2 linked regions of the Danio rerio genome follow. The protein of the gene in region 2 purifies or fractionates together with the protein of the main gene of each other region. This does not show direct contact. Links are inferred from orthologs where the notes say so. Each region holds a gene or a part of one and is shown on either strand. Other genes may lie near its edges.

The links.
Region 1: the proteins of wipf1b (region 2) and nck1b purify together in Homo sapiens (co-immunoprecipitation; 5 studies listed by BioGRID and IntAct, with this or other methods). This does not show direct contact. The link is inferred for Danio rerio from reciprocal best matches to the Homo sapiens genes WIPF1 and NCK1.

Annotation. Positions count from the first base shown.
Region 1 is NC_133199.1:3,692,652-3,696,959, reverse strand, and holds the start of nck1b (SH2/SH3 adapter protein Nck1), read left to right. Parts: upstream 1-1,306; 5' UTR 1,307-1,344; intron 1,345-2,509; coding exon of another isoform or gene 2,510-2,586; intron 2,587-4,126; coding exon of another isoform or gene 4,127-4,171; intron 4,172-4,308. Other genes in the region: wdr37 (WD repeat-containing protein 37), read right to left, coding at 330-471, 1,072-1,306, 2,510-2,586, 4,127-4,171. UniProt on the Homo sapiens protein: Adapter protein which associates with tyrosine-phosphorylated growth factor receptors, such as KDR and PDGFRB, or their cellular substrates. Maintains low levels of EIF2S1 phosphorylation by promoting its dephosphorylation by PP1.
Region 2 is NC_133181.1:11,765,391-11,769,785, forward strand, and holds the start of wipf1b (WAS/WASL-interacting protein family member 1), read right to left. Parts: upstream 3,017-4,395; 5' UTR 2,954-3,016; intron 2,707-2,953; exon of another isoform or gene 2,695-2,706; 5' UTR 2,621-2,694; intron 1-2,620. UniProt on the Homo sapiens protein: Plays a role in the reorganization of the actin cytoskeleton. Contributes with NCK1 and GRB2 in the recruitment and activation of WASL.

The sequences.
Region 1 (4,308 bases), on a different chromosome or scaffold from region 2:
TTAAGAACTGAAAATGTTATTAAAATATGACTATGGAAAACATTTTGAAAAAATATTCATAACTTTATCTATGGTCTAATACAAAAATATGTATTTATTTAATAAATATATAATATTTATTAAAATATAATAATAATATTTATTATTGTTGTTGTTATTATATTATTATGTCATATTAAAAAATATTATACCATATTATTTCTATAAAAAGCACTTTAATTTACTCTAATATTAATATTTTACAAGCATACAGTAATTTAAAGTGACACCAAATGTTCATTTTGGCAGGTTGTTTATATGTCGACGGTCAATAAGATGATGTGACTCACTCGGTGTGGCCCTGGAAGACATTGACTGAGTGGATGGAGGGATCTCTGAAGTCCCACAGGCGGAAGGTGGTGTCTCTGGATGAAGTGACCACCAGACGCTGAGTCGGATGAGTGCAGCAGTGGGTCAACTCCTGATCGTGACCTGCAAACACACACAAACAGGTAATGGTGAGGGTTAGAGCTGGGGTAGAGGTTGATACAATACAACTGAGTTGTAGTTGAGGGTTTAACAAATAATAAACAAGGCAACTTTATTTATATTGCACATTTCACACACAATGGTAATTCAAAGTGGTTTACATGAACAAGAATAAAAGAAACGAGTATAAGAAATAAAAAACAACAAATATTAAAAACTGGTGGCTCAGTGGTCGCCTCACAGCAAGATCACTGGTTTGAGTCCCGGCTGGGTCAGTTAGAATTTCTGTGTGAAGTTTGCATGTTCTCCCCATGTTGGCATGGGTTTCCTCTGGGTGCTCCGGTTTCCCCCACAGTTCAAACACATACGCTATAGGGGAATTGGTGAACTAAAATGTGTGTATGAGTGTGTATGGGTGTTACAGCTGGAAGGACATACACTGTGTAAAACATATGCTGGAATAGTTGGTGGTTCATTCCACTGTGGCGACCCCTGATAAATAAGGGACTAAGCCAAAGAAAAATGAATGAATGAATTAAAATATCCATAATAACTCTCCTTAAACACATTAGTAAATGTTGATTTATTTCTCCTCATGTTCACCTGTCAGGGTGTGCACCAGCTCCGAGGTCTCCACATCGTACAGGTTTGCGGCTCTGTCCCAGGACGCAGTGACCACCTGCTTTCCTCCCACCAGCCAATCAGCGGCGATCACCACGCCTTGGTGGCTCTTCAAGGTGGTTGTGGCCACGCGGATGGTGGGGCATTCATTGGGTCCATCAGCGTCGCCGTCTGCCTCGTCTTTATCAGAGAAATCCACGTCATCGTCCAGCGAGGCCTGAGTCGCACAGGAAATGACAAGAGCAAATGTTTGAGGTAATTTGATTTCATTACCATTTCAGCATCTCCAGCTGTTATTATGACCAGAAAAACTGATCAAATTGACAAACATTTCATAAAAAATAAAACACTTTTCTATAATTAAAGGGTTTACAGTGCACAGGATAAATGAGTACACCCTTTACAGATCTCGCTTTTACATTCATATTATTTTCTATAGGATGCTTCACAATATTATACATATGGTTCTGTGGGTGGGTGAAGCAGTGGCGCAGTAGGTAGTGCTGTCGCCTCACAGCAAGAAGGTCGCTGGTTCCAGCCTCGGCTCAGTAGGCGTTTCTGTGTGGAGTTTGCATGTTCTGCCTGCGTTCGTGTGGGTTTCCTCCGGGTGCTCCGGTTTCCCCCACAGTCCAAAGATATGTGGTACAGGTGAATTGGGTAGGCTAAATTTTCCGTAGTGTATGAGTGTGTGTGGATGTTTCCCAGGAATGGGTTGCGGCTGGAAGGGCATCCACTGCGTAAAAACTTGCTGGATAAGTTGGCGGTTCATTCCGCTGTGGCGACCCCGGATTTATAAAGGGACTAAGCCGACAAGAAAATGAATGAATGGTTCTGTGGGTCTCGTCTATCAAATCTGAGATTCTGTATTGGATTTAGGTCAGATGATTGGCTGGGCCATTCTACAGCTTGATTTTCTTTCTCTGAAAGCATTTGAAAGTCTACTTGGTTATGGATCATTGTTTTGCTGAAATGTCCACCCTGGTTTCATCTCCATCATCCTGCTAATGTAGATGTTGGACTGAAGCAGCTGATATTCATTTACACTGAGGAAAAGCAGAGGGTTACTGAAGAACTACTGAGAGATTTCAGCTGCTGTCTGGGCTTTCCATGCATTTCCACACCTCCCTTCATGTGTTCAATACTTTTTACCTGTTTCGTTTTATTACACAGAACATTTTAGTATTACTAAATTGTATATTTATTATTACTAATATTACACTTACTGTTAACTAATTAGTTTGTGTGTACTGCGTTTGTGTGTACTGTATGCATTTGTGTACGCATCTGTCTGCCTTTGTGTGTATGTTTGTCTGTACACGTGTGTCATATGCGTCTAAGTGTATCTGTCTGCGTCTGCATGCGCGTGTGTGTACGCATGTCTCTGTGGGTGTTTGTGTGTGCGTGTGTGTTTAATACTCACGCTGATGTCTGCTGGAGGCTGTGGAAGTGGCAGTTGTACCATGTAACGCCAGATGTGAGCCGTCTGGTCCCCGGACGCTGTCAGGAACAGACAAAACAAACACAGAGGCAACATTAGCAAAAAGAAAAAAGCACAGCCATTGATCAAATCACATTTAAAAGCATCTGGGAAATACAAATCTATATGAAAGAGAGAAACATCTCAGTCTTAATGCAGTACAGCCCTCAGTCATGAAATAACTCCTCATTAGCAGCATCATGAGAGATCAGCAGACAATCACACACAGTTGAAGGCAATATTAAAAGCTCTCTTGTGAAATTGTAATATGTTTTTAAATCTATCCCGAGCACCGTTCAACACAGCAAAGGCATTTTCACAATATTTTTATAACATTTGTTATTATTATTTATTCATTTATTTCACTTCGGCTTAGTCCCTTTATTCATTAGGGGTCGCCACAGTGGAATGAACCGCCAACTTATCCAGCATGTTTTACACAGCTGATGCCTTTTCAGCCGCAACCCAGTACTGGGAAACACCCATACACTCGCATTCACACTCGTACACTACGGCCGACTAGATTTCTTGCGGTGCGGAGATAAATTTCCGAAAGAAGCGCAGGAGCGGTCGGTAACTGGTTTAATTTTGTACAGAAGCTCGCGGTCTAACAATATCACTCCTGACTCCTGAGCGAGCAAGCACGCGTATGTATGTATGTGTGTGAATGAGACAGCCTGATGCTGCGCTTAGCTTGTTTCTTGCTGTGTGTGTGTGTGTGTGTGTGTGTGTGTGTGTGTGTGTGTGTGTGTATATGAAAGAGAGAGCTTTGTGCTGTGTGTGTGTTTATGCGTGAATGCGTGAATGAGAGAAAGAGCGTGATGCTGTCTGTGTGTGTGTCACTTGCTTGGTGCTTGTGTGTGTGTTATAGTTTGTTATAGGCTGTCTGGACTCTGTATAGCTGGGGGGTTTTCGCTTTTGTTCTCCCCCTCGTCCGTTAGCGAAAATGGGCGCAACGGGTAGAAAACGGGGCGGGTTGGGCAGAGGGACAACAAATGCTAAATATAAGCGGGAGCGGTCGGGTTAGGGCTAAAACCTGGCGGGAGCGGGATTCAAAATTTAGTGCTGCGCAGATCTCTAGTTTGGACTGTGGGGAACACCAGAGCACCTGAAGAACACGGGGAGAACATGCAAACTCCACGCAGAAATGGCAACTGAGCTTGGATTTAAACCAGCGAAATTATAGAAATTAAGTTGCATTTATTTTTAAAAATATTTTAAAAATCTTAATTTAAAATTCAGACAATTGAGATTTTTCTGAATTAAAAATCCGACATTTTTATTTCATTAGATTTAAGCATATTCTTCTCCTTCAATTTTAACCATTTACAGATAGACAGACGAATATTACTGATCTGTGATATAAATGAAATAGGCGTTCTTTACAATCCAGTTGCTGGATTATATATTCTATACTGTGGAAATTGTTATTGTCAATTGATCATTTTAATAAAAATACATATTGATTCGTTTTTCACCAACATATATTAATAAACAAGACACAGAAATATAAGACATTGTGTAAAAAAAAGCAAACCATTAAAAAGTTTTTGTGTATACCTGTAAGCGCCATCTGCTCTGTGGGATGGAACTTAATGGAGTTCACTGCAAAAACAGACCGTAAACATTCACTGTACACAACAATCACCAATCCTACAGCTCGTAAAACCCTGAAAATAATCACTTTCAAATGCAGGTTCACAAAATTAACACTTTTGTAAAGTGTTAAAGGCAGAAATGTT
Region 2 (4,395 bases):
CTGTGGCGTTGACATGATGCTCAGTTGTTACTGATGGGCCCAAAGTGTGCCAAGAAAATATCCCCCACACCATTACACCACCACTACCAGCCTGAACCGTTGACATGCTGGTAAAAGGAAGGATGGATCCATGCTTTCATGTTGTTAACGCCAAATTATGACTCTGCCATCCAAATGTCGCAGCAGAAATCGAGACTCATCAGACTAGGCAATGTTTTTCTCTTCTTCTATTGTCCAATTTTGGTGAGCCTGTGTGAATTGTAGCTTCAGTTTCCTGTTCTTAGCTGACAGGAGTGGCACCCCATGTGGTCTTGTGCTGCTGTAGCTTGTCCGTCTCAATTTTGATGTGTTGTGTGTTCAGTGATGCTCTTCTGCATACCTCGGTTGTAACGAGTCGTTATTGGAGTTACTGTTGCCTTTCTATCAGCTGGAACCAGTCTGGCCATTCTCCTCTGGCATCAACAATGCATTTGTGCCCACAGATCTGCCGCTCACTGTATATTTTCTTTTTTTTTTGGTCCATTCTCTGTAAACCCTAGAGATGGTTGTGCATGAAAATCCAAGTAGATCAGCAGTTTCTGAAATACTCAGATTACCAACAACCATGCCACATTCAAAATCACCTTTCTTCCCCATTCTGATGCTCTGAGGTTTGAACTGCAGCAGATCATCTTGACTATGTCTACATGCCTAAATGCATTGAGTTGCTTCCATGTGATTGGCTGATTAGAAATTTGCATTAATAAGCCTAACATACCTAATAAAGTGGCCGGTAAGTGTGTGTGTGTGTTTTGTCTTATATACATACATTCAGCATCTTTAAATCAGTAACTGAATATGTATGTGCTTTATCTGATGTTTTTAATTCTTTCCCTCATTAAAGAACACAAGCACACTTGCTTACAAAAGCAAGTGAAAATGTGAACGTGCATTTTTGAGATGCACTCAAAGACCCTGAACATGAAATCAACTTTTTTTTCAAATAATATTACCTCAAGTAAGAACTGACGGGTGGATTCCTTCAACCACAACCTGCTAGATCACACATGCAGAATGAGGCAGGAAGGGGCCGCCCACAGAGAAACGAACGGTAGTTTATTTGAAAGCGTCATATCTTACTGTAAAGCAGAATTTCTGTCATTTGCACTTTGCAATGTTTGCTTGCAACACCACATCAGAAGCAAAAGAGCAGCTCGCTCAGCTAGCATAATATGAGCGTGTTCAAGCACATAATGTGCCCGCTGTCTCTGATTCTGTCTTTCCATCACTTAGTAGGCAGTATTGTCCACTTCCTTTCTGAAACTCAGCATAATGTTGACACTTCTGGCTGCCTGCAGCTCTGTAGCAAACGGATGATCTCAGATTCTGTCGGTCACATGATTTCAGACTCTCTTCAAATCACTGGTCAAATAGACAGAACATTAACCAGACAAGAGAGAAGTAGAAGTGATGACAGTACTTCTGTCAAAGAGGGGAAGTTAATGCAGAGAGGGAACTCGTATGCATTCTAATTTGACTAAACTAAACTAAACACTGCACAGCTAAGCTCATGCTTTCAATAGTAGCACTCTGTGATTTTAAAACCATTGCTTAAGTGTCACACTTTCACACTTGCAGAAAACCACATGAAATACATCGAGAGCTCAACTGCACATTAACATTAGCATTTACAGCCTCATAAAAGTGTTTAATGCAAGAAAAAAGCTCACTTAACAGTTTCCAATGAACAAAACAGTCAACTGTCAAACAAACTGACAATAACTAACCTATTGAACCCAATACCAACTAATTCTAATCTGAGGTAACCATTTTAAAGAACTGAGCGGACACTGCATTTGAAATAACTCGTGACACTGGTGGCACAAAATAATGAGGTTTTTAATTCACAAGGAGAAAAAGATGAAAGAAAAAAAGGAAGGAGCAAAGCATATGACTTGCATTGCATCTCACTGTGGAGACCCCATGGCCTTTCAATTACAAACACATGCTCCTACTAGTTCGAGTTACTCTATGAATCGGTTCTTTTGAATGGTCGTTTCACAGTCAGTTGAACAATTCAAGTTAAACGATTACTGTGGTTGATAATGTCCTATATATTTAATTAATTTGAATACGCTTTTGTTTATACAAATTTATCCAAAAGTTAAGAATTGAACACCAGAACGTCAAAACAAATCGCTCGGTTCTATTTTTAGCCGATTCAATTAAAGATTCGGCTCAAAAGAACGATTCGTTAGCCAATAAGAACTCGCTTGCAGCTATCAGAATGGATGAACTTGATATGTCAACTGTTCTTTATAAGAATTTGCAGTATTTTGTTTTAAGAAGCTGCCTTGTGTGTCTAAACTACAGGAGAAAACAACCTTATTAACCCTGCCACAAATATACGCTCAAACTGGCAACCCAGGAAGTGGGGGAGACTTTGCTTCCCCCAAAAGTTGGCACTGCTTGTGCTTTTGTGGAGGAAAATAGCTATTTAAACTGAACACCTCATCCACACACTGAAAACTGACTCAACACTACAAGTAGGCTGCGTTAAGAAATGCACAGCAAGGTCAAATCACAGACTACATCCATAACTCGAGCGTTTTATACAGCAACAGTCTGCGTAAACACTTACCGGTGCTTTGCGTCTTTTACTGCGCGTCCACCGCTTACGAACCGAACGCAGCAACACTCATCCTCATCAAGCATCTACACAAACACAGAGGAACACAAGTTTTGGGCCACTCCTTCATGGCAGAAACACACACGCAAGTTCTCCCCGCTGTTTCCGCCCAGCGTCCTGCCTACAAGTCCATCACATTAGCTGGAATAAACATTCAAAGCTCATCGCTTGAACGCCGCAAGTAGCAATTCAGCACATATAAGCAGTATCACATCTCTTTAAATGAGAGAAGTACAACCCAATGTCTTGAATTGGACGCGATATCTTTTTAATTCGTTTCTTTACCCAGTTTTTCTTCCTCCAGCAGAACAGCAGACTCTTCGTTCTCTTTATCCGGGACATTCGTCTGTGATGCAACGTCCAGATGTGACTGACTGACTGACTGACTGACTGAGCTCAAACATCTGTCAAACTGTTGCAAGTGTGTGTGTGACACAAAACTGAGCTCTGTGTGGGGAAAAGTCACAGACATGTCAGTCACATTTTGGAAAAAGCTAAATAAAATAATGTTTTTTGACAGAAAACTCTTTTGTTGTTTAAATGTTGCAACTATTTGATTAAGAATACAACAGTATCCGTAGCGAGTGGGGGGGGGGGGGGGGGGGGGTTGTCTTTTTCTCTAAAAGTAGACCATTTTGATGATATTTTATGAAATATTTTGTGCTGGATTAGCTTGTCTTCTTCTATCACGTGCATGCTTTTTACAGTACCAAAATGGTGACTGTTTTGTCAAGTTGCTTCTAATAAAGTGCAAATTTTGTCAGTCCAAGCACACAACATTTAGTTTTTTTATTGTTATGAGGATTTCCCATAGACATACAGCAAGGGGTAGATTTCATGTTTTTGGGGCCCCAAGCAATTCCAGCCATGCGGCCCAAGTCCTGAAATGCACCCTTTCTACTCTTATTTATTTTTTATCTATATTGCTGTTTGTTATATCACTCAATCTTCTTTTCTACATTTTAAATGTGTTTTTAAAAAAATGAATTTGCAAGTAAAAATAATGCATTCATTTTTTTATAAATATGACTGCTGGACCACTCAATGATGGATATTTTATTTTGTAATATTATTATTACATAACATTACATTATTATAAGACTATATAGGAATTATCAATTTATGTCACAGATGACGTCACACAGGTTCAACCAGGCATTCCGGTTGCAAAAAAGACCAGTTGCAATAGCAAACATGTCGTGTTGTGCGGTAGGATGCCAAATTCTAAATTAAATATGAAATTATTTTAAATATTAAATTAAATTAATTAAATAAAAAATAAATTAAGCCCAAACTCCAAACACCACACAGCTTTTAATGCCAACTGCAGACATCTTTGACAAACAGCCATCAGGAGAGCTGAATGGTGTGAGGACCTAATTAAAAATGCTCGACTCTGCAGTTCTTATGTTATATCAAGTAAGTACACTCTATGCTGAATCATACTCATTACTCGTTTTTGATTGCAGCAATGATTTAACAAACAGTTAAATTTGGTTAATTAAACTGCGGACAGTGAATGCTTAGAATAAAATGTAAAAATGTACATTCACATACCCTGCCGTACAGGTGGATTTCGCTGTCAGAATGCAGTTATTTTGCTTGTTGGTGATTACCCAGGCCTTGTACAGTTCCGTCGTCTTTCCTTGTCTTTGGCTAGGCAGAACCTCGGTTTTTATCACTACCGTTTTGAGTCTGGTAATCATAGAACATTATTTCCTGCACAT